Linked DNA regions of Rhinolophus ferrumequinum. The protein of the gene in region 3 interacts with the protein of the main gene of each other region in a pairwise test. Links are inferred from orthologs where the notes say so. Each region holds a gene or a part of one and is shown on either strand. Other genes may lie near its edges. The genes, in order: MICALL1, RBSN and EHD3.

The links.
Region 1: the proteins of EHD3 (region 3) and MICALL1 interact in binary tests that used the Homo sapiens proteins (3 or more experiments, as listed by UniProt). The link is inferred for Rhinolophus ferrumequinum from reciprocal best matches to the Homo sapiens genes EHD3 and MICALL1.
Region 2: the proteins of EHD3 (region 3) and RBSN interact in binary tests that used the Homo sapiens proteins (3 or more experiments, as listed by UniProt). The link is inferred for Rhinolophus ferrumequinum from reciprocal best matches to the Homo sapiens genes EHD3 and RBSN.

The regions. Positions count from the first base shown.
Region 1 is NC_046293.1:9,060,130-9,067,526, forward strand, and holds the start of MICALL1 (MICAL-like protein 1), read right to left. Parts: upstream 3,004-7,397; 5' UTR 2,981-3,003; coding exon 2,835-2,980; intron 1-2,834. UniProt on the Homo sapiens protein: Lipid-binding protein with higher affinity for phosphatidic acid, a lipid enriched in recycling endosome membranes. On endosome membranes, acts as a downstream effector of Rab proteins recruiting cytosolic proteins to regulate membrane tubulation.
Region 2 is NC_046300.1:41,248,704-41,256,596, forward strand, and holds the start of RBSN (rabenosyn-5), read right to left. Parts: upstream 3,049-7,893; 5' UTR 2,860-3,048; intron 760-2,859; 5' UTR 584-759; coding exon 436-583; intron 1-435. UniProt on the Homo sapiens protein: Rab4/Rab5 effector protein acting in early endocytic membrane fusion and membrane trafficking of recycling endosomes. Required for endosome fusion either homotypically or with clathrin coated vesicles.
Region 3 is NC_046296.1:50,263,743-50,271,410, reverse strand, and holds the start of EHD3 (EH domain-containing protein 3), read left to right. Parts: upstream 1-4,649; 5' UTR 4,650-5,343; coding exon 5,344-5,567; intron 5,568-7,668. UniProt on the Homo sapiens protein: ATP- and membrane-binding protein that controls membrane reorganization/tubulation upon ATP hydrolysis. In vitro causes tubulation of endocytic membranes. Binding to phosphatidic acid induces its membrane tubulation activity.

The DNA.
Region 1 (7,397 bases), on a different chromosome or scaffold from region 3:
AGGCTTGTTCCCAGACCAAATGAGACAAAGCAACCTGGCCGTTTATTTCCGTCTCCCCAACAGTGTTTCCTCAAGGCTGGGGTCACATTTTGTTCACCCTGTGCCCCTAACACCCTGCATAGTTCTTGGTACTTAGTAGGTGTTCAATACATGTTTTTTGAATGAAGAAATGCTGGAAACAGTGTGAAAACTATACAGGCTCCCGAGATATTACAATTCTTCATCCTTTCCCCCACCCCCATCTCTGTCTCTAATCCACATCTGGGCTTTAGTAACACAGATTTTCTGAGAGTTTTCAAAGGCCTGGGAAGTTCTATTTGGCTCTGGGGGAGATGAAGGGCACAAAAATGAAACCCACATGGTGTCTGCCCTCCACGGAGCTTAAAGACGCCTGGATTGGGGGAAGCGGGCAGTGAACCAGCCCCTTTACCACGCAGCACAGCCACACCCCCAGCAGAGCCGGGGCCCACAGCGCCAGGAGCTTGAACCACTTCAGAAAATGATTCTTGCCCCACCCCTACTCTCGTGGAAAGCCACTCTATCCATCGCTGAGGTCCTCTCTGTGCCATATGGGGCACACGGGCCTCAGTTTTCGTCCTGGGTGGCAGGACAAGAGGGCTGTCTTGGGGGACAACGGGCTGGCAGCCCTGGCGCTGGTGATTCTGGATCTTCTCAGGAGGGGAGCCGCCCTCCATTCCAAACCAACTTGAGCCACATCCCTCCCCTTCTTAAAACCCACATGGCTCCGCACGGCGCCATTCACCCTCCTTAGCCAGCAAGAGGCGGGAAGCACTCTGGCCCAGCTACTGCTCCGGGCCCTCCCTGCCTTGTGCCATGGGCTACCTGTGGCTCTGCTCAGGTGTTCCCTCTGCCCCAACGCCCTGACCTGGCTCCTGACATCTCCTTGAGGACTACGTGACATCTGGGAGGCATTCCCAGCCCAGCCCTCTGACACAGCACTTCCCACGTGGAATTATCATCCCCTGCTTTTACATCTGTGACCCCATAGGCTGTGGGAGACCATGTGGGGTTAGTCTCTTTGTTGGCACAGTGCCAAGCACAGAGCGGTAACTCTGTAAATACTTGTTGAATAAATGAAAGAATAAGACACTCACCACCTCCCCCCTACTGTCTAATTATACTACTTATAATAACGCAGATTAATTGAATGCTCATTACCTCATTGAATCCCCACGGCACTCCTGTGAGGTCAGTCTTATTATCAACCCCACTTTACAGATGAGGAAACTGACGCCTGGAGGGATTTACCCAAGGCCGCCAACCTGGGACATGGAGGGGCTGAATGCAAACCAAAGCAGCCTGAGTTTTGATGCTGGCAGGCTCAGGCCCACCACACAGCTTCGCTTGACACCCAAGTCTCTTCACACACTGGCCATGTCCTCTGCCTCCTGCCTCACCGCCTGTCCCTCCAGCAAAAACAAGCCTCCACTCCAATCCGGGTGCCCTCCTCCGTCCAAGTCCCTAGTGCAGTTGTCCCATGCCGCCCAGCAGGCAGTGCCCACCTACATCTCCACCTCATCTTGTTTACTTCTGTATCCACACCCCCAAAACACTCTCCTCCAGGGCCCAACACCGGGCCCGACCCGTCAGCCACAGACATTGTGCCACACAATACACAGTAACCCAGTGCACGTGCCATCGAATCCTTAAAGCAATCCTTTCCTTTCTTCCCTCCTTCCTCAAAGCCCTCCCAGGTGCCAACCTCGGGGAGAGTAGAGCTGGAAGTGGAACAGACAGAGAGACTCCAGGACCTGCCAGGCTCAGGTCACCCTTGGCGGGGGGTAGGCAAGCCAGGCAAGAACCATGACTCTTGTTCCCAAATTGAACATTCGATAGGAAGCAAAAAGAATGACTGGCACCAGATAAACTTTCACTTAGTGTTTCATAAATGAATGAATGGAATGGATGGATGGATGGATGGAAGAGGTGCCAGGGCCCAAGGCATAGGGAGCTGATAGAAGCCCTAAGTCAACTTCAACTGCTCTGGAGATCTGAATAAATTTTCCCACGAGAACCTCACTGGACAGCTGGGGGCAAGAAGGGGGCATTTCATACCCTGGAGCAGCCCGTGGATGGCTATCAATAGAACACATTGTGAGTCTTCACTTGGCCCTCCTGCCCCACTGAAGATGGCAGGGCCACTGCACACACACCTGATCTGTGTCCTAATTGTGTGTGTGTGTGTGTGTGTGTGTGTGTGTGTGTGTATGTGTGTGTGGGGGTACATCCATTCATCCAACCAGTTAACCTAGGGGCCCCTCCGTGCCAGGCACTGTACTAGTGCCCTCGAGACAAGATCGCATGGGGGAATCAGAGAAGTGAGGTTCACTGCACTCAGAGCCAGGGGGGCTCCCACAGAGGGAACAGGCCTCAACGCCTCACTGAGAGTGGGGTGCTCAGTGTGACTATTTGAGAGGAGTTTAGTGGAGGCCCAGGGTTCCCCCGAGGAAGGTTCGGTGCCCCTTCAAAGAGTCAAGGCCTTGGGGGGCTGTGTCCCTTTGGCGAAAATCACTGCCCTGTGGGTGGGGCCACCCCCCTCCCACCCCTGCCGCGGAGGGACCAGCAGGCGATGGTGGGTTCTGAGTTCCAGTAGGCGGGGTCAGAGAGGCCTGGTGGAGGAGGGGGTGCTCCGGGTTGGGGGTCTCAGTGACCCTCAAGGCGTTCTGGGCCGGTCGGTAGGGTCGGCGTCTCGGTCTCCGGGGGGCGGCGCCAGCCACCGCCCGGGCCCCGCGTCACTGAGGGGGGCGGGGGTCCCCGGCCCAGGCCCCGCCGCCCTGCGCCCCGACCCTCCCGCCCGCCCTCCCGGCACTCACAGCAGGTCCGGCCGGTGCCGGTGCAGGATGGCGCAGAAGGCCAGGCCGTCCCGGAAGGAGCTGCTCAGGTCGCGGACGTCCACGCCGCGGTAGCCCTCGCACTGGCGGCGGCACCAGGCCAGCAACGCACCCCGCGGCCCCGCCATGAGCTTCACGGGGCTCGGCCCGGCTCCGGGTGCCGCCGGGATCAGGCTTCACCCTCTGGCCCGCCACGGGCGGCTCCGGCGCGGCCCTGCTCTGCGCTGCTCCGAGCTCCGGGCGCCGACCGGCTGGCAAAGGGCGGGGAGGAGGCGGGGCCGCGGCCTCGGTGTCCTAGGCTCGGGCTCCGGCGCGGGGTCCCGGCTCGGCTGACTGCTCCCCGCCCGGACGTGCCCGGACCTGCCCGGCCGACCGCCGCCTACTCACTGCCGCCGGCTCCGCTTGCAATGAGCCGGCCGCGGGCGCCTGCGTCCCGCTGGCCTCGGTCCCCGCCCGCCGCCGCCGGGGAGCGGGTAGGGGGCGGCCGCCTGCCGCCCCACCCAGCGATGGCTCCGCCCCTAGACGCAGACCCCCCCCCGCCCCTCCCCCCCACACGCACAGGCCCCGACACCCCACCGCCCCTCTCCTGGGCGATCCCCAGGCTGCCGTTCCCCACGGTGACCTCTCAAAGAACTCTGGGACAGCCCTGAACCCCTACCCACCGCAAACTAGCCCGTTCCCACGATGACTTCCTCCACTCCCCACCTGCACCAGGCTGCCCACCGAGAACTCCTCTTCCTCCCATCCAGAATCCTTCACAGTCTTTGGCGGAGAACCTGCAAATCCCCCACCCACCTCCCCTGGCCTGAAACTTTGTGGAGGCATTCCCCCCACTTCAGGAGGTTCCCCTGCAGACCCCACAGCACCCACAGATGGTCACCAGCTTCCCCCACCCCATCTCATCACTCCAAAGCATCCCTGACCTCCAGGTAATTTGGTCTCCCTCCATAGCCTGCCAGGGAGACTCCATGTTCCCCACACCACCATCAGTCCAGGTGTCCACCCAGGGGTGTATTGAGCCTGACCACCTGTCCTACAGAGTTCTCCTGCCCTGCCCTGTAGGCCCACTCCCCACGGGGGCCCCTCTCCTGCCATGATTAGGGTGCTGGTGGGTTGGGCTCCATGGGGAGGGAAGCAGGCCCCTGTCTGGCAGGGCATCGGGGGTCTGGCCTGGAAACTTCCCAGCATCATTCTCCACTTGCTTCCCCTTAAAGTTTTGGGTAAGCGACCCCTCCCCAGAGGCCTCTCCTCCTCCAGGAAATGCATCAGCCTTCCACAGGGCTGGCTGTCAGCTGCCTTGGCGGTGATGTCACTGACCGGTGCAATAGTTAGCTGGGATAGGTCTCTGGCTCCACCCCCCAAGGGAAGGAGCAGGATCTTAGTCACCTGTCACCCCCAGCCCTGGGGGGGTATGGGAGTCACATTGACATAGGCTCCCATCCTGGCTTTCCCCACTTGCCCAGACGTGTAATCTTGAGCTGCCCTGAACCTCAGTTTCTACATCTTAAAAATGGGGATAATTCCTTCTTTACAAGGTGGCTGAGAGAATTAAGATATAATGTGCCTGATCCATCAGTCGTCCCTCATAAATGCTAACTATTGCTACCCGATGTCCAGTACATTTGTGGTAAAATGGATTGAGAACATTTCGTACCCAGCTTGTCATTTGGGCTGTTTTGAGGACATGATCAAGGAGAGAGGCCGACTTGGAGAATCCCACGTCCTCAAAGGCCCATTGAGTCCCATCCCAGGATGCAATGACCCGGGGAAGGGGATCCCGGCCTTGTGAACCCAAGCCAGCCTAACACCCTGGCTCTGAGGCTGGAAGCCCACCGCCTAGGCCCAGAAGGTAGACTGTCAGGTGACCTAGAAAGGGGCTGCCATGGGCCAGGATGCCTGGCCAGCCCTCTTGGCCTCTCACCAGCCTGCGCTGCCACCTCCCACCTTCCCTGTCCTCTATGGGAAAGGAAGTTTCCAGGCATGCTCGTTAAATCAGGGGCCTGGTCTCAGGACCCTGATACCAGCACCCACCTTGGCCTTCAAAGTCCACCAGGATTCTCATTAAAACCCAGGAGGTATTATACCCGTGTCCCTGTCCTCACCAGCCTAAGGGGCTCCCTTCAGGTCCCTGAAGATGGCTCCAGATCTGACTTGGTCCCCGTTGCCCTAATAATAGCTTACATGGTACAGCCCTCTGGGCCCCTATTAGCCATTTCTGTGTTTTATAAACTCATTTCTGAGTCAGCTCATCATGATAGGAAATAAGGGCCTGTGTGACCACAGGCCAGACAACTCACCCCTGTGAGCCCCAATTTCCTACCCTGTAAAATCTAGATGACAATCTTTGTTTTGCCTGTGTTCCAGGGTTGTGGGTAATCAGGTAAGATAATGGATGGAAAAATGCTGTGCAGACTGTAAATCTAGGTTCAGGTAGGAGGTGGGACTGTGTTTAGGTGAGGTCAGAAGCCACAGACGGCCAGGTGAGTCACTGGTCCAAAACCATGTCATAATTTCAGGATTAGGCTAGAGGGCTTTGGGCCCTTCATTCAGTGCTTTTCTTTATTTTGTTTAACTGTCGATTAAGAAGTGAATGCATTGTCCTTATCAAACATTTAAAAATAAACCTGAAGTTTCTACTTGACTGTCTTCTCTCAATCCCAGTCGCCTCCTAAGTGGCAGCCCCCATTGTCAGCTTGACCTTGTGCAAGCGTTTACATTCACAGATCCAACAAATACTGAGCACCTGCTCCCCATCTGGGGAGATAGGGTGAAGGAGACAGGGTTCCTGCCCTCATGGAACTAACATTCTAGCTGGGAAGATGGGCAAGGAACAAACAAATCAACGAAGATGGTGAGAGGTGCTCAGAAGAAAACAAAGCAAGGTGCTGTGATAGAGACCATGGAACCGACAGGGCGGCCAGGGAAGGCCTCTTCGAGGTGGGGACACTTGAGTTGAATGATACCCATCTCCCAAGAGAGCAAGCTGAATGCAAGCCAGTGAGAGATGTCATTGCAGACAGAGCTTGAATCCTTTCTAATGAATTCCAGGTAATAGCCGCAGGTATACCAGTAGTGGGCAGGATCCTGGTGAGAGACAGACTCCTTGCTACTCTGTCCAGCAAGGAAAAAGGAAGCCCAGGGAACAGCAAGCTTCCAGAGGAAGCCCCTGATTGGTTGGGGTCAGGGTGCCATGCTTTCCGTTTACCATTCTTTCTGCCAACCTGCTTTGTTAGGAGGGCTGCAAAGGCAAGCTGAAACACACAGAACCGCTGGGAGTGAGAGAAATTACCATAGAATGAGCAATGGGATGAACGAGTGAATGAATAACCAGGACCTATGGTTTACGTTTATTTTCACACAGAGATCTCAAGATAAGTTTCAGAAAGGTAAAAGGCATAGGAACCGCCATGGAGGAGACCTGGGGAAATTGTGGGGAAAACGAATTTCATCAGTGCTCTGGGAACCTCTGGCTGTTGATTCCCCCTGACTCTGCACCTTTTCAGAGGCCGGTGGGCTGCTTCTCTCTCCGAGCCAGAGGTCCATGGGTGCGTGTGTGTTTCCGGGGGTGGAAGGCGATACCTGGCTGGCCCCCTTTCACCCACCACCTGCTCTCTATGCCACTGACTTGCTGGAAGACCCTGAACAAGAATGTCACCTGTCTAAGGTTTAATGTCAACATCTGTAAAAGGTGGGGGTTTGCCCACCCTATGATGCAGCAGGGCTGTTTCTAGATTTTGTTCTCCAGAAATACTATCCCAGCGGCCCCCGATGTACATACAAAGATGTTCATTGTTCGTTCACAGCAAAACACTGCGGACTGGGTGATTCAGTTTAAGCACAGCTGGACAACAGAAAAACCCACAGCTGTTAACGCCGGGAAGAAAGGATACCTGCCCAAATGCTGTCAGTGGTAAACCTTGGAGTGAGATTGGGGGTGTGGCAGACTCATTTTTTACAAGTACTTATTTTTTACAAGTACTACATATGAGTGGAATCATAAAGTATTTGTTGCTGATTAATTTTTAAACTCTTGCTCTGGTTACAGTATTAACCAGTCACTTAGGGAAAAAAAGTCATTTTCATTTTCTCATACCCACACACATTGTTTACAGTTTCACATTGCTAGAAGCAAATCAGGCTCTAGTTTGAAAACAAAACCAGCCTCAAATGAGCGAGAGGGAATTTGCCCACACAGCACCAGGGCCACGGGCAGATCACTTCAAGATGAGAAATCTGGGTAAGTCAGGTGGAGCAAGCAGAATTTTATATGAAAAGAATAAAAGATGAGGGAGGGGAACTTTGGAACTGAGCTATCCGTCCAGTCCAGACAGCCTGGAGCCTCAACACCTGCAGTCTTCTAATTCCAGAATTTCGTTTTTCTAAGCTTGCCTGACCACCAGATTCTAGAATTCTCAGTTCCATATGGGTCTGACCATTGTGTTTTTCTACCCAGCTGTGCCTCAGGATTCAGGGTCCTGCCCAAGCCCTGGGCTCTGAACTGCTCCCTGGGGGGCAGCCTGGCAGAGTTGTGGACAATAGGAGCAT
Region 2 (7,893 bases), on a different chromosome or scaffold from region 3:
CAAGTAAATGAGTCAACAATGTGCCTCCACTTGCATAGCAAAGGAAAAGAATTCCACTCCAAAACCCTCGGAGGCTGGCAATGAGACAATTCAGTCAGCAGAGCACAGTAACTACATTTATTAGGTTCAAAGCCGGGCTCTGCCTCATTGTGTGACTTTAGGCAGGTTATCTAATCTCTGTGTCTGATACCCTCATCAGTAAAATGGGGCTCATCGCAGCATAGCTATTGTGAGGATTAAATGAAGTTAATTCATGGGAAGACTTTGAACAAAGCCTGGCACGTGGTAAGCGCTAGATAAATGTTTGTGGCTATTGTTATCCATTTATGATTGTTAATATCATGTTCCAGAGGCAACATAGAAGCTGATGAAAACCACCCCAGGAGTTCAAGCTCCCACGAACAGAACGGGATAAGCAAACTCCTCGCCTCTTACTTTTAATTTGCCCTTTGACATCATGGTCTTCCCCGGAGTGCTCTTCTTCATAATGGGACTGAAGCTGATAGAAAGACTGTAGGTCCTTCAGGCACAAAGGGCAGAGGAAGCCCTCCCTCACTTCTCCTGGGTCATCCAGAGAGGCCATGACAGTGTCCCTCTCAACCCGCACAAGGCAGGAGCCTCATGCCAACCCTCAGCTGGATTCCTCCGCAAAGGACCAGGGCTCCCGCAGCATTAACTTAACCAGGCAGCACACAGATGATGTGCAAGTGGTATCATGGCCCTGGGCGAGGTTTCCTCACTGGAGTCCGTGGGAGAAGCCTTAAGAAAGGAAAGAAGAAGGGGCGGGGGAAAGCCAATCAGGCAAATTAGCAGCAATTCAGAATTCTCTTTGTTCTTTCCATCATTCAACAAGGATACTTAATGTTTGTTCAGTACATGTTTGAGAACGCAAACTGCTTTCTCAAATCCTTAGACCAAAACATAAAACCATCTAAGATAGAAGAACATCACAGGACAACGGCAGCTCAATAAAGTGGGAAGCACAGATGCTTGAAGATACGAAAGGAAAATTCAACTTCAACAGCAAACACAATACCCAGGCAATTCTCTAACATTCATTCCAAATGATCCAACTTCATAATCTGTAGATCATAGGAGTAATGTCTGAAGTATTTATCAACAAATAGGAGTTTTTCTTGAACTCTCTGTATTTTGATCATTGATTCAATCACATCTATTGAGCTCTTGCACCAATGTCAAAAATACAACAATAAAAAAGAGATAGTGCCTGCCCTAATAAACAAAACAAAAATCCCTACCTCAGTCTAAGGAGGAGCATTAGAAACCTAGTGGTCAAAAAGAAAAATCTATTTTGTGTTTTATACTTGTAAAGCACTTTCTCTCCAATGAACTTACTATATTTTATAAACCAGTAGTGACAGTTGAGCAGGAAGCCAAAAGTTCTCACAGCTTTAAAAATCAAAGGATTTCGTGCTTAAACAATTCAGGGCTTAGTAAGTTACAGTTTCAGTTTTCTTGGGCCATGGCAAAGTCACTTCCAATGTCACCTCAGAAAGACTCCCGGTCATAAGGAGAACCCAGACCACAAAACCACTTCACAAAAGCAGAGAAATTTCTCCCCAAGAGCTTGAGTTCACTAACCACAGTAGAGAGTAAGGGGGACTGTATGACCCTCAGGTTAGACGGACCACTGCGTAGAGGGCCACTGAGGTGGGACGGCCTGGTCCTCAAACCTGAAGGGTGGCAGTGACCCAGAAAATAAACAAAGTCTGTTTCTTTCCTCTAGCTGAGAAACCCAATGACTATATATAAGCAAATCTCACCGCGTTTCCAGATAGTCACTGAAATAGCAGCTCCAGTTCTCTTCCCACCCAGTGGTTCATCTGACACCCTGACTCTGACAGCCCCCTTCTGTTCTGTGAATTCACCCTTAATACCGCAAATCAAACACACACACACCCTTCACATCTCCATCCAACCTCACTTCCTCAAGGAAATGCCTCTGACTTGAGGCCTCCTCCCATCTGACAGCCCCTGCACTTCTACACAGCACTGATCTCAATCTATAATCACAAGTGTATAAAGTAACTGAACACATGAGACTGGAAGCTCGGTGAGGGCAGATTCCATGTCTGTTTTTCCACCACCATATCCCCAAGGTCTGGCACAATGTTTGGCACAAACTACAAGAAACACAATGAATGAACTGTAAGATCAGACAACCAAACACACACCACAAACCAAAGAAATCTACCACAAACCACCAAGCCAAACCCCACAACCATAACGTATGCAAGCCCACACTGTACACCGAGCAAAACATAAAAATAAAACCTACGTATTCTGCACCTATACGTTCAGCCGATGCCGCAGAGACAGCCGCACTCATCACAGCCTCACGACCGCACACAACCCGCCTCCACCTCACTCAACACGATTAGGCACACGTCGCAAAAGTACACACAACGTGAAAGACTCACCCGCGCAGGGCAGACATGACAACTTCACACATCGCACAGACGCCACACCAAACGTTACAAACAACACAAAAACTCAGACCCCAAACGCCTCAACCTCACACAATCAGAGAACCAAACACAACCACCCGGGAGACGACCACCCACCCACCCCTCAGCCGCACAACCACACACAACTGTACACGCCCCGCGACACCACACACCCAAACAGAGCCCACTCAACGCAAGCACACACGAGCGAACAGCAAGACCCGAAAGCCACCTCCTCCACTACGCATGTCACACCCACCCCAACCTCACGGTCCCACACCCGCTCGGCCGCCCGTCTCGGTGCCCGAAGAGAGCAGCGCCCGGCCCCTTAGGCCCAGTCCAACCCTCGGTAACCGGCCAGTCTCCCGCGGGCTCGCAGGCCTTTCCAGACCTTGGCACGGGCTCTGGGCCTCCACGGTTCATCACACCGGCGCGGCCGCCATCTCCATCGGTTACTTGGCGCTCGGCAGGCGCTCCTGTGGCAGCACCGAAACCGGAAGACAGGCTGACAGACGCCCACGGAGCGCCGAGTCTTCCAGCGCGCGAAAGGGGCCGCGACAGATTCCAAAAGCGCTGGGCGACCGGCGGCTTCTGCGCAGGCGCTGTAAGAACCAGCAGGGTGAGCTCAGTAATTTTGCAACGTTTTGACGTCCCAGGTACTTACGTATAATGCGTTAAAGCCAGCCCCTTGCTCTCCACCCCGTGGTACAGGTGGGAAAACAGAAGCTTGTATATGATGTAATTCTTTAGCTTTCGACCAAGGTGTGCAATGAATGAGGCAGCAGGGTTGGGGGTGGGGTCTTTAACGCCTCCTACCCTACCCCCAGCTACAGTTCTAAATTAATTTGAGTCAAAGTTCTTGAGGGCTAGAGATAAAAGGAATATTTTGGAGACTTGGAGGTTGTGGAAAGATCCGGAATAGAACCACATGAGAGTGGAGACTTATAATGAGAGGAAGTATCCATTCAGAGGGTAGACAGCGTGGTCAAATCTGTGGGAAATCTGACATTTTCAAATGTAAATCAAAACTGCAATGAAGGGGTGGAGGAAGGGACATTGGAGGAGGGTGGTCAAAAGTTACAAGATAAATAAGTACTAGGGATGTAATGTGCAATATGATGACTATAGCTAACACTGTTGTATAATATACAGGAAAGTTGTTAACAGTGTAAATACTAAGAGTTCTCACAGAAAAAAAATTTTTTTTTGCTTTATCCTTTTTTCTTTTCTTTTGGTTGTCATCTATATGAAAAGATGGATGTTAGCTGAATCTATTGTGATAATCATTTCACAACATGTAAATCAAACCATGCTGTATGTCTTATACAGTGATGTATGTCAATTGTTTTTCAGTAAAACTGGAAGAAAACACCGCATACAGTATAATTCCCACGTGGACAAAAACCAAACCAAACAACAACCAAAAAACCCACAATGAGGTACCACCTCACACCTGTTAGAATAGCTATTATCAAAAAGACAAAAAATAACAAGTATTGGCGAGGATGTGGAGAAAAGGGAACTCTTGTACACTGTTGGTGGAAATGTAAATTGATGCAGCCACTATCTAAAACCAGTATGGAGGTTCCTCAAAAAAATAAAACGAGAACTAGCAAATGATCCAGCAATTCCACTTCTGGGCATTTAGCCGATGAAAATGAAAACACTAAACTCAAAAAGATGTATGCCCCACCCCACCCCCCGCCCCATGTTCATTGCAGTATTATTTATAATGGCCAAGACATGGAAACAATCTGAGTGTCCATTGATTGATAAACGGATAAAGATGTGATATATATATATATATATATATATATATATATATATATATATGATTCTGCCATTAAAAAGAATGAAAGCTTGCCATTTGCAACAACATGGATGGACCTAAGGACATTGAAGGCATTCATGCTAAGTGAAATAAGTAGACAGAGAGACAAACACTGTATGATCTCACTTATATGAGTATGTGGAATCTTTGGGAAAAAAGAACAGCTCATGGATACAAAGAAAGTATTGGTGGTTGCCAGGGCAGAGGGAGGTTGGGGGGTGGGGGCTGGGGAGTGGCTCCACCTCTAAATTGGAGCACTGATTCTGCAACTAGTGCTGGGCTTGCCTCACCTTCTATTTAAGGATGTGGGGCTTCCAGTGTGGGGAGCATAGAGATTTTGGAAAGCAAGCGCCAGTGGAAGGGCAGTGAGGTAGGGGGTTCAGAGACCTTACTGTGTGACTTTCAACTGTTCCCTTTCCCTCTCCTGGCCTCAGTTTTCCCATCTAAACAGATAAAATGGGTTCTAAAGACTTTCGAGCTCTTTTGTTTTTTTCAATCTGATAGCCCAAAAAATATGTATTTTTTTTAACTTTATAGGGTTGGTAGGAGTAGACAGTGACTCCCCTTTGTGTATTGGCACAGACAAGAGACTTGCCAACCTGTCAGAAGCAAAGCATCAGTCCCAGCTCTACCTACCCACCGCCACCTCCTGCCTTGTTTCCGAGTAACCAAAAGAGTGAAAACACCTTCTTGAATGTATGGAGCCGGATAAGTCCCAGAACTGGCCACACTTATCAGCAGGACTATGTTTGGAGTCAGGTGATGAACCTTTTATTAAACCATCATGATTTTGCCTGTTATTCTATCATTTACAAAAGCCAGTGTCGCATTCACCATTTCATTTACTCAAAAAAGTAGTAATGTGGCCGGCAGCTTGTGAATTAATTCCGGAAATCATGCTGGATCAGCCACTGCTATTCTATTGATATTTTTAAGAATGATGGTGGCAAAGATCTTCCTGTATGCTTTACAGTTTATCAAAAGCACTTTCATTATTTAAATCCTTTGGGCAGCTCTATTATTAATTCTATTTTAATATTAGTAATAATAACTAATATTCACTGAGTGATTTGCATGTGCCAGTCATTGTTCTATGTGCTTTACATGTTTTAACTCATTTAATCCTCATATAACCCTATGTGGTACAAACTAATATTATTCTCATTTTGTAAGTGAGGAATCTGAGGCACAGAGAGATTAGGTAATTTACCCAAGATCACACAGCTGTTAAGTACTGAACCCAGAGTCATCTTGTCTTGAGACTTTCACAACCCCCACTTATCCTTCCTTTGTGAAGGCCTGATCTCTGAGCTTTTCTTCATCTCTCAGCATTTTCCGGGGACCAACCATGTCCCAGGCATAGAGATAGAGGAAGTGAAGAGAATCATGCAAGACAGTCTCAGTCTTCAAGGAGGCCTCAGCTGGCAGGGAACATAATCCAATTAGTTAAAAAAAAAAAAAAAGAAGAAGAAGAACGAGAAGGAGAAAGGAAGAAAAGAAAAGAGAGAGAAAGAGAAGTGTGCACATGTGTGCAGATGTTCTGGCTGATGAAACCCCCTGTGGGAATTCAGGGAAAGTTTCCCAGAGGCAGCAACACATGCGCAGAGCCCTCAAGTAGAGATGATCAAGAAGCGCTTGCCAGGCCTGGGGAACAGCATATGCAAAAGCATGGTCCTGGGGAAGAACATGTGTCCTTTGAGAAACAGAAAAATTCATTCATACCTAGAGTGATACTATGAAGGCACTACATCTTCCCAGCACTACGGCGAGCCCCGTCTAAGGGTCGAGTCTCAGACAAGGGCTCCTTCACCTTTGCCTTCTGGCCTAGAGTTCTGTCTCTGTTTCTGTCTCTCTCTCTCTCTTTCTGACCCCTTATTGTTTAAGTTCATCTCAAGCAGCACAAGATGTCTTGGCATGACATTAAAAAACCTGTGCAGGAGAGGGAAATCATAATGTCAGTAAGCGTATGTTAGGGGAAGGTGTGCGGTACGGCATGTAACTCCCCAAAGATCCAGCTTCCCTCCAGGCTGGCCCAGGCCTCTGACAACTGCTGCTGTGGTCATGAGCAGGTAGGTTGAGGAGACAGAGGTTGGCACACCCCATCTGCTGGCACAGGGAAAACAGAGTAATGACCAAAGGACTGACAGGGTCACAGGAGGGCAGGGCCTGGTTTGGAGAATTGACAAAGGGTGTGCCAGGCTGGGTGGTGACCAGGGGAAGCAGGTGGCAGCTGCTCAGGGTCAGGAAGGAAGCAGAGAACGGACAAAAGAAAAGAGAGAAAGAGAGAAGGAAAGGGAAGAGAGGGAAAGAAATAAGTAGGGAAAGAGGGAGAAAAGGAGAACAAGAAAAAGTTAAGAGGTAGCCAGTCATAACTGTTCTAAGCACAGATTCCAGAGCCAGTCAACTGGGGTTTGTATCCCAGCCCCACAGCTGTGAGGTCCCAGTTCAGTCACTGAAATTCTCTGAGCTTTAGTTTCCTCATCTGTAAAATGGGAGAATAATACCATCTACCTCCTAGGATGGAGCATTCAATCGGTTAATACAGTGCTGGAACAGGGCCTGGCACATAGGAAGGACTATGTGAATGTTTGTTAAAGAAAAAGGAAGGGAGGTGTGATTTAAATGCTTTGGCAGTTGTGTCAAGCTGAGTCAGACACTGTCATTGGAGATGCGAGGATCCTATCTGGTATCATGGAAATATCTTTGAGAGTCATGGCCCTGCCAGATGGGAAGTCAGAATGGAATCAAATAATAACTACTCGCACATTCATTGAATTTTGTGGGGGAGGTTGGTGGGGAGTAGCAGCCTCAACAGACTTGTTAAGTAGAAAATATGGTATTAACATGTGAACTGCAAGGCCACCCAATTTTCAGGTTATCGGCTGGCATCTCCTTTGACAAAACAGGGCCACTGCCAGCCTATTGGGGCCTTTGGTGAATGGGAAAGAGGCCCCTCTTGCTTCCACGGATGGAGCCCTGTGCCAGAACTCAAGCCCTGTGCCTAGTGAGTGGGTCACAAACTGGATTTCTGCTCCCACTCACCCGCTCAACTGTGCTGTGCATACCTCCAAGAGGGTCCCAGGGCGACGGACGAGAGTAAAGGGCTCAGCATGGTCCTCAGGTTGTGAGAAGAAAATCACACTGGTTGTCTGCAGCTTCAGAACTCATTCCTCTGAGCTAAATCTCTGGAGATATGTACGCCCAGTCAGTTGAGAAGTTAACCCCAATTCAAACACAGATTTGAAATAATCTGTGTACATGTGGTATTTTAAGTATTTAATAAGATATTGAAGAGTTTGATGTGTAGAGCATCTAACACCTTAGTCTTGTGACTCCAGTTTAACTCAGAAATTGACTTAGGCCTGTGATTTTTTTCATTCAACAACCTATGTATTGAGCACCTTGCTACGTGGGTGCCTGAGCTAAACCAGGCAGCAGTTCTTGACCTCATGAAGCTGATATTCTAGTGGAGAGACACAGCCACTAAACAATAACTATACCCAAGAAGTATATTTTATAGTACATTAGACAGTCATAAGTGCATCGAAAAAAGAAAAAAACGAGTAAAGGGTATGGGAAGTGCCAGGTCGCAGT
Region 3 (7,668 bases):
GGCTAATGGCTAACTGGTAACAGCTGATGGCCACTCAGCCATAGCGGATGGCCATCTGATTACAGCTGATGGCCATCTAATAACTGAGCCAGCACCTTTCCACGTGAGGCCAAGAGCCTGGAAACTGGTCTCTGAGACTCTGTCCCCACACTCCATCCTTCCAGGGTCCCGCCTCACCATCTACGTGACAAGCATCTTCCGCGAGGGGCCCTGTGTCAGGAACCTAGCTCACGATAAAAAGTTTCAGTCCAGTTCAAGTAATGTCCCAGGGGGTGTCCCGCGATGTCCACCTACTTTCTGGGCACAGCCAGACTTTCTGGGCACAGCCAGGGTTTCTCAGGGTACCATGCTGGAATAATAGTGGCTCACAGCCAAGGTGCTTACATATTCTGGACCCCAGCCAGTCAAAACACAGGAAGTAAACATCGCCTGCACCCCAATAAGGGGTCTTCCTGCACCACAGTCTCAATGGCAACCAGGCGAGACACAGGAAGCAAACATCTGCCTGTACCCCACCAAAGGGTCTTCCTGCACCAGTCTCACTGGTGGCGAGACACAGGACGTAAACATCCTCCAGTTCCACTACATGGTGGTACGTTCCCAAGCACAGTCCAGCAGTGCATCAAATCAGGGATGGAAGGCAATTCCCCATAATCCATAGTCATTCACCAGGGCTATGCATTGGCCTCACAATGTGTGCCCTCTCCGCTGGGCGAGGGCTTCAAGTCCTCTCCAACCTGGGGGTGAGGGATGACCTCATCCATATCCTCCACCGAGGACTCAACAAATGTTTCCTCCTGGGACTACAAGTCCCGCATCTGGTCTGCCTCAGCAAGCACCTCTCAGCCCACACGGCTGCAACGACCTTCACTTTCTCTTGGCTATGCTGGTTGGAGAACCGTCCAAGTCTTCCCACCCCTCCTCGGGGATCCAACTCCTGAGAACAGTAGCTACTGGGCACCACACACTGTGTGGGGGCCACATGTCCTCCTGTCCAGAGTCAGACATCATTCCTACCTGGCCGGAATCCTGCTCGCAGCACCAGGTATCCAAGTGGGTGGTGGCCCCGGCACAAGATGTCCATAACTCTAGGAGCCCACGGCAGCAGCAGACCACCAAAAGGAAGATGATGCTTCTTTGGCCAATAGGGTGGCGTGCCATCCAGAGGTTTGAGAGGACCACCAATTCACTGAGGGGTCACATTTCTCCCAAGAATATTGCGTTTCCTGCTCCCAGAGCCACTCCTCATGGGCCTCCCGAAACAGAGCTTTCATACGTGTACACTGCTCCATTACCCCTTTGAAAATTCTGGCCGGCACCATACCCTGCTCACTGCGCCAAGTATCATGCAGGGTATCTGCTCCCGCTCCCTGCACAAGAACGTAGGATATGGTGAGGCCAAAAAGGAACACCGACGGAGCCATGGATAGAGGGTTCATACCACTATATTCTCACTGGCGGCTGGGTTGGAGACACAGGAAGCAGGAACCACACGATCTGCAATCTGCTGTCCGCTTCTCTGCCAACCAACCAACCCCCTTGTCAGCATAGCCACGGCAGTTATATTAGTGGCTAATGGCTCACTGGTAACAGCTGATGGCCGCCCAGCCACAGTGAATAGCCATCTCATTACAGCTGATGGCCATCTAATAACCGAGCCAGCACCCTTCCATGTGAGTCCGAGAGCCTGGACACTGCTCTCTGGGACTCTGTCCCCACAAGTGCTTAAGTTGACTATTGCCAAATGTATTAATCTTTTCATTGGCAGTTTGTGCTTTTGGTGTCTTGTTGAAGAAGTTCAGGTTTCCATATTTGTTGGCTGTTTTACTGTGTCATTGTTCTATCGGCCTCTCTCTGCCAAAACCACATTATCGTAACCACTGCAACTCAATAACGATCTCCGCCTGGGCAGGTTCCATTCACCGAGCTGTTGTCACTGTCTTCTTTTTCTCCTCCTTCCCCTCCCTCCTCCTCCTGTTCCTCCTTCTCCTCTTTTTTTTTCTTCTGGAATATCTTAGTTATTCTTGGACTATGGTTCTATATACATTTGAAAATCACCTTGTTAATTTCTATGGAAAACCTTGTTCAGATTTTAATTTAAATTCTATCAATTATTGACTCTAGCAATTGTGTTGTAAAGAATTTACATCTTTGTGACATGGAATCTTTCCATAATTAAACATGGTGTGTCTCTCTCGCTTATTTAGAATTCTATAATGTCTTTCCATTACGTTTTATCATTTTCCATATAAAGGTCTTGCATAGTCCTGTGTTTCTTGATTTTTGCCAATGGGTATCTTTTTAAAAAATTGTCTTTATTGCTAATATATAGAAATGCTGCATTATTACTCAACTCTTTTTTAAAGAAGATAGATTTCCAACTCTTCAGGACTGACAGCTAGAGTTAGATGTGTCAATAGACACTCAATAAATTAGATATTTGGGGCTGACAGTCAGTGGTACAAAATACCATAGCTGTACTGGTTAATAAAATATTGAAGTATTTCCACAGTGGCGCCCCCTCTTTCTCCCTTGGCACTCTGATCATCCTGGACTCTCCCCCTGGACAGACCTAGACCTCTCCAAGTTCCAGACACTACTAATGAGGTTTAACGTTTTTTTTTTCTTGTGTTTACAGCACATTCATGTAGCATCTTTTATAAAAGGAATTTTTGTGTCTTTTGCCAAATTTTTTTCTAGTGGAATTTTTTTTATTAATGTACAGGCATTAATTATATATTTTGGGTGCTCTGTTATTGGGTTTATGTATTGTAATATCTTTTCATTCTCTCTTGTACCTCTACAACCGGCACAGCTGGGGCCTAGGCCTGTTCCACTGGGAAGGTAAAAGTCTGTTGTGACTGCTCCATTCCCATGCTTTGCGAGTTGCTAAATATTTTGAATGTTGCCTCTTATGCTCATATGCCAATGCTAATGTAAACACTGAGGGTAAATTATTAATGAGGGGTTCCTACCAGAGATTCAGAGAGCTCAGAAAGAGGCAATCAGCTCTGGAGTTCAAGGTGGGAGTTAGGAGACCTGAGCTGTAAGTAGGAAGATTCTAGCCAGCACCCACCTCTGATAATTCCTGCCCAAATCCCCACAGGTTCACTTAGCATACTCTTCTACTTGGGGCTACCACAGGCACCTCAGCCACACGTTTCAGACTGAACACATCATCTTCTAATGCTAAATCTGCTCTCCCGAGTCCCCTAATTGATGGAACAGTGTCTCCAACTACCTTCTCCCCTACAGTAGAATATTCAGAATCATCCTAGACTCTGCCTTATCCTTATTCTCTTTCTTTTATTGCTTACTAAAATCTGTCATTTCTGTGCCATAAAAATTTTATTGAATACGACCTTTTCCCCATCCCGATTACCACTGTCTCCTAAATTTTTGAATAGTGTCCTAGCTGGTCTCTTGGCCTCCAGCTTCTTTTGCTCCTCCAGTCGCTCCCCCAAACTGTTACCAGCATTAGCAGTTCCCCCTGGACCATTAGCCTGCTCTATTTCCTCATCTGTGGAAGGGAGTGTATGGGAGACAACTGCCTTGGCAAGTACGAGCTTTTATCACTGACACTGTTTAGAACGGTGCTCAGACAAAGCAGACTGACTATGACTTGGTTTTCTTATTGCTCTCAAGTTCCCTACAGACAATGAACCCCTTTTTGCCTACACCTGGCCAACTGTTCCCACCTCCATTCTTGTTGGTATGATTTTGGAGACAATTTGGTCTGCTTTATAGAGCTGCCATGAAGGTCAAATGGTACAATGCTCGCTGTGAACTTAGGCCAGGCCCCTGCACATAGAGAACACTTAATTAGTGTTAACAGTGATTAGTAATAACATTATTCTTGGTGCTTTATCCCCGGTATGATTCCCATGTGGGCAAGCAAAGCCGTTAGGGCCTAGCGTTAGACTCCCTTCCCCGACCCCTGAACCTTACACTCTAGCCAGCAAAACTGTTTATTCGGCCTTCACCACACCAAGTTCTTCCATGTTCCCGTGCCTTTGCAAATGACCTTGACTCTGGAATGTCTTTCTCTGTAGATTCATCATTTAAGATCCAGCTCACAGTCATGCTTTCTGTGAAGCCTTCCTCAAATTATCCAGACAAGAAGAACGCCTCCTCCCCTGTGAACCCCTGGCTTTCAGCTTATACCTCCTCTGTAAAGTCGGCCTGGACTGGAGCTTCTGGAAGGGAGCCTGTAATTGCTCATCTTTGTGATCAACTTTGTGTCTACAGCCACCAAAATTGGTGAGCCTGTAGTACTGGCTCAATACTTGCAGGGCATTTCCTTGTTTTGTTTTGTTTTATTGGAATGAATGAATGAATGAATGAATGGGAATGGTTTTGATTTTACCCTAGACCCAGCAAAGTTTTTAGTGACAGTTCTGGTCGTTTTGTAACCTGGTATTGGACTCTTCTTCCCATCCCTGCTCGCTCTCCTCCCCTCCCCCCACAAATATTACCAACTATTAGAGTACCTGTCTTCCTAAGGAATTGAACTCAGTAACTAAAGAAAAGGCCTTTCAAAAGCGGAGTGATGAGCAGGTCAACTCAGCCTTCTCAGCTGTCCCTGAGAGGGCGCTGTTCCCAAATCAAACCTCCAGAAGCCATGACTGAAATACCAGCGCGTTCCCACGGGATTCAGCATCCCTCCCTTCCCAGGCAGCGGCCACAGATCCCCAGCAGAGCTCCTGCCCACAAACATGGCTGCGCCCTGTTCAGCTTCTCCTTGCTGGGACCCGCTGGCCCGGCCGGCCTTGCCAGTACTCGGGGACTTCCTCCACGAGCCGGCTTCCTGCACCGCTGGCATTTAAACCCGCGGCTGGGGCTGCGGGCTGCGGCTGCGGATGCTGAGCTGTCCTCGGAGTGGGCAGCGCCGCCGCCTCCTCTGAGCGACCTGGCTTGACAGGAGCAGAGCCGAAGCGTCCCCTAACTGGATCCGGGCCAGAGCAGGAGAGGTCTGAGGGGAACGCCGGCATCTAGCAGTTTAATTACAGGTTTGACTTTAATTTCCAAGATCGCAACCCTCCTGCCCAACCTAGATATTTTCCCTCCCTCCGGCCTTGGTTGCTGGATGAAGAAGGGGCTGGGCTTGGTCCCAGGAGCTTGGGAAGAGCACGTTTTCGGCCCCGCGACGTCGCCCCAGGGACCCACGAGCCGCGCGCCCTGGTCATGGTACAGCTGAGCCTGGCGCTCGGGTGAGGCGGCGGCGCTGCTCCAGACTGGCTGGCCCGCCCTGCGGAGCATCTTCCCGAGTAGCCAAGGGCGCCGGGACGCGGGGCTCCGTGTCCTCCTGTTGGAGCTGCGCTCAAGGGGCGAGCAGCAGCCGCGATGTTCAGCTGGCTGGGTTCCGACGACCGGAGAAAGGAGCCGGAGGTCTTCCACACAGTGAGCGAGGGGCTCAAGAAACTCTACAAGACCAAACTGCTGCCCCTGGAAGAGTATTATCGCTTCCACGAGTTTCATTCGCCTGCCCTGGAAGATGCCGATTTCGACAACAAGCCCATGATCCTGTTGGTGGGCCAGTACTCCACTGGGAAGACCACCTTCATCAGGTGAGCTGGTCCAGGGCCCAGACAGCCCACCTGCCACCCAGCACTTAGGCCCTCGGTTCACTCTCTCCTGCCTGGGGACAGTCTTCACTTGAGGGCTCTGACGAAATCCGTGTGTGTGTGTGTGTGTGTGTGTGTGTGTGTGTGTGTACATCCCCAAAGCTTATCCCACGATTTCATTGTTTGTCCAGCTTCCCCTCCTATCTAGTGCCTCGCCTGCTTAGCCCTTGGCTCAGGTGGTCAGTTTGAAGTGTTAATTTTTGGAGCCATCCCTGTTCTTCCCATTTGATGGATAGTGAAACCAAGGCCCAGGAGACACAAGTGAGAAAATTCCTGGTCCAAGAGTACCTTATGATCCACAACTAGACAACAACTTGACTTGGAGCTGAGCTGTGCCCCCCACAACCAGATTGAAAAAAAAAAGGCGATGGCTTGGCGTGGAGCTGATGGGTCCGGTGGGGGGGGTGGCATAGTGTACCCCAGTATTCCCCAATTAAAAAAAAAAGATTAAGAAACTAATAAAAAATAATATTGAATGTCAACTATAATTAAAAAACAAGTCACAGGGATGTAAAGTACAGCATAAAAAATATAGTCAATAATATTGTAACAACTATGGACAGTGTCAGATGGGTAATAGACTTACCGGGTTATCACTTTGTGAGATGTATAAATGTCTAATCAGTACGATGTTTTGTATGCTTGAAACTAATATACTGTATGTCAATGGTAATTGAAAAAATTTTTTTAAATTAAAAAAAGATTAAGAAAAAAAAAGAGTACCTTATGATGATGGGAGTGCCCGCACTTTTTAGGGGCACATCTTTCATGGCCAGGACCACTTCCCTTGCCTTTTAAAGGCTTCAGCTACTCAAATGGGGGCTTTACAGTTGCAGCTGAGGAGGTGGGCTGGGGACCCTGTGATCCCCTGCCTGGTAGTGCCAGTTGTCTTTTTATCAGTTTCCTTCTCTGAGCAAAACTGCTACACATATCTTTTGAAGACTGGACTGAAGCAGTATCCAGAAACAATGCTTTTTTCTTTTCCCTTGTTTGATCTTAATGGCTCAGTAATAGTATTAAAGTCTTTTAGAAGTGGAAGGGATATTGATGGTTGTCTTCTGCAGCCCCTTGACTTGACCGGTGAGATAACTGAGACGTAGAAAGGTTAAATGTATTATCGATAGTCATATAACTGGGTAGGAAGCCAACCTGGGATGCCGGTCTTAGATGCATGGGAGGAGATGCTTGGCTGAATGCCTGTAACTTTGAGGATGAGTCATCCATTCCCTTGAATGATAGAATCCTTGGGCTGGAGGGATCCTGAAGAAGTCGGCTTGTCCACCCTGCATTCAGAGAAGTCCGCATATTGTCCACCCGAGTGATGAGAGTCCTTTCTATCTTTAGAACACAGGCTTCTCTCCAGCCCTCAGTCCACACAACCTTCAAGGCGAGGCCATTTTGCTTGGCCTCGTTTACAGCCATGGCCACGCTGTTGAGGGTGCCTGTGCTCCTCCTTTGTGTTGAGTTGGCTCCTACAGTGTAGCGATGGGTTTGGTGGTCCCCCAGAGCCTATAGTGCTCATCCTCTGCAAGTTTTAAAGCTGGGGTGCTCTTGTTTCCATTCATTGACTGAGCACCTGCAACATTCAAAGCACTGTGCTTTGTTTGGAAAGAAAAGCAGCAAAGTTAACAGTCTGGTCACTGATTTTCTAAATACGAATTTTCTGTAACGCTAAGCTTATAACACAAGCCCCACAAGCAGGGCATGCCCCACACTAACAGTTTGTGTCTGAACAGAACGCCAAATCAAGTTCGCCCTTGTTGGGTGGACAGCCTTGGGCTCAGCAGCTTTGAGAGGCTGAATGATTTCTGAAGAAGTTTGGTACCCAGGTCGGGGAGTGGAAGGAGGTGTATGGGCGTGTTGGCTTTTGGATCTCTTATATTATTAGAAACACAAGGGCCCTTAGCTATGAATCTAATCCATTGCTTCTTAACTTTTTAAAAGCACAATATCGCCTTTGAAAATCTGATGAAAACTGTGGAACTATCTTTAGAAAAATACACATACATCCCTAATCTTGGGGGCCTGAGGGCCGCCTTGGATC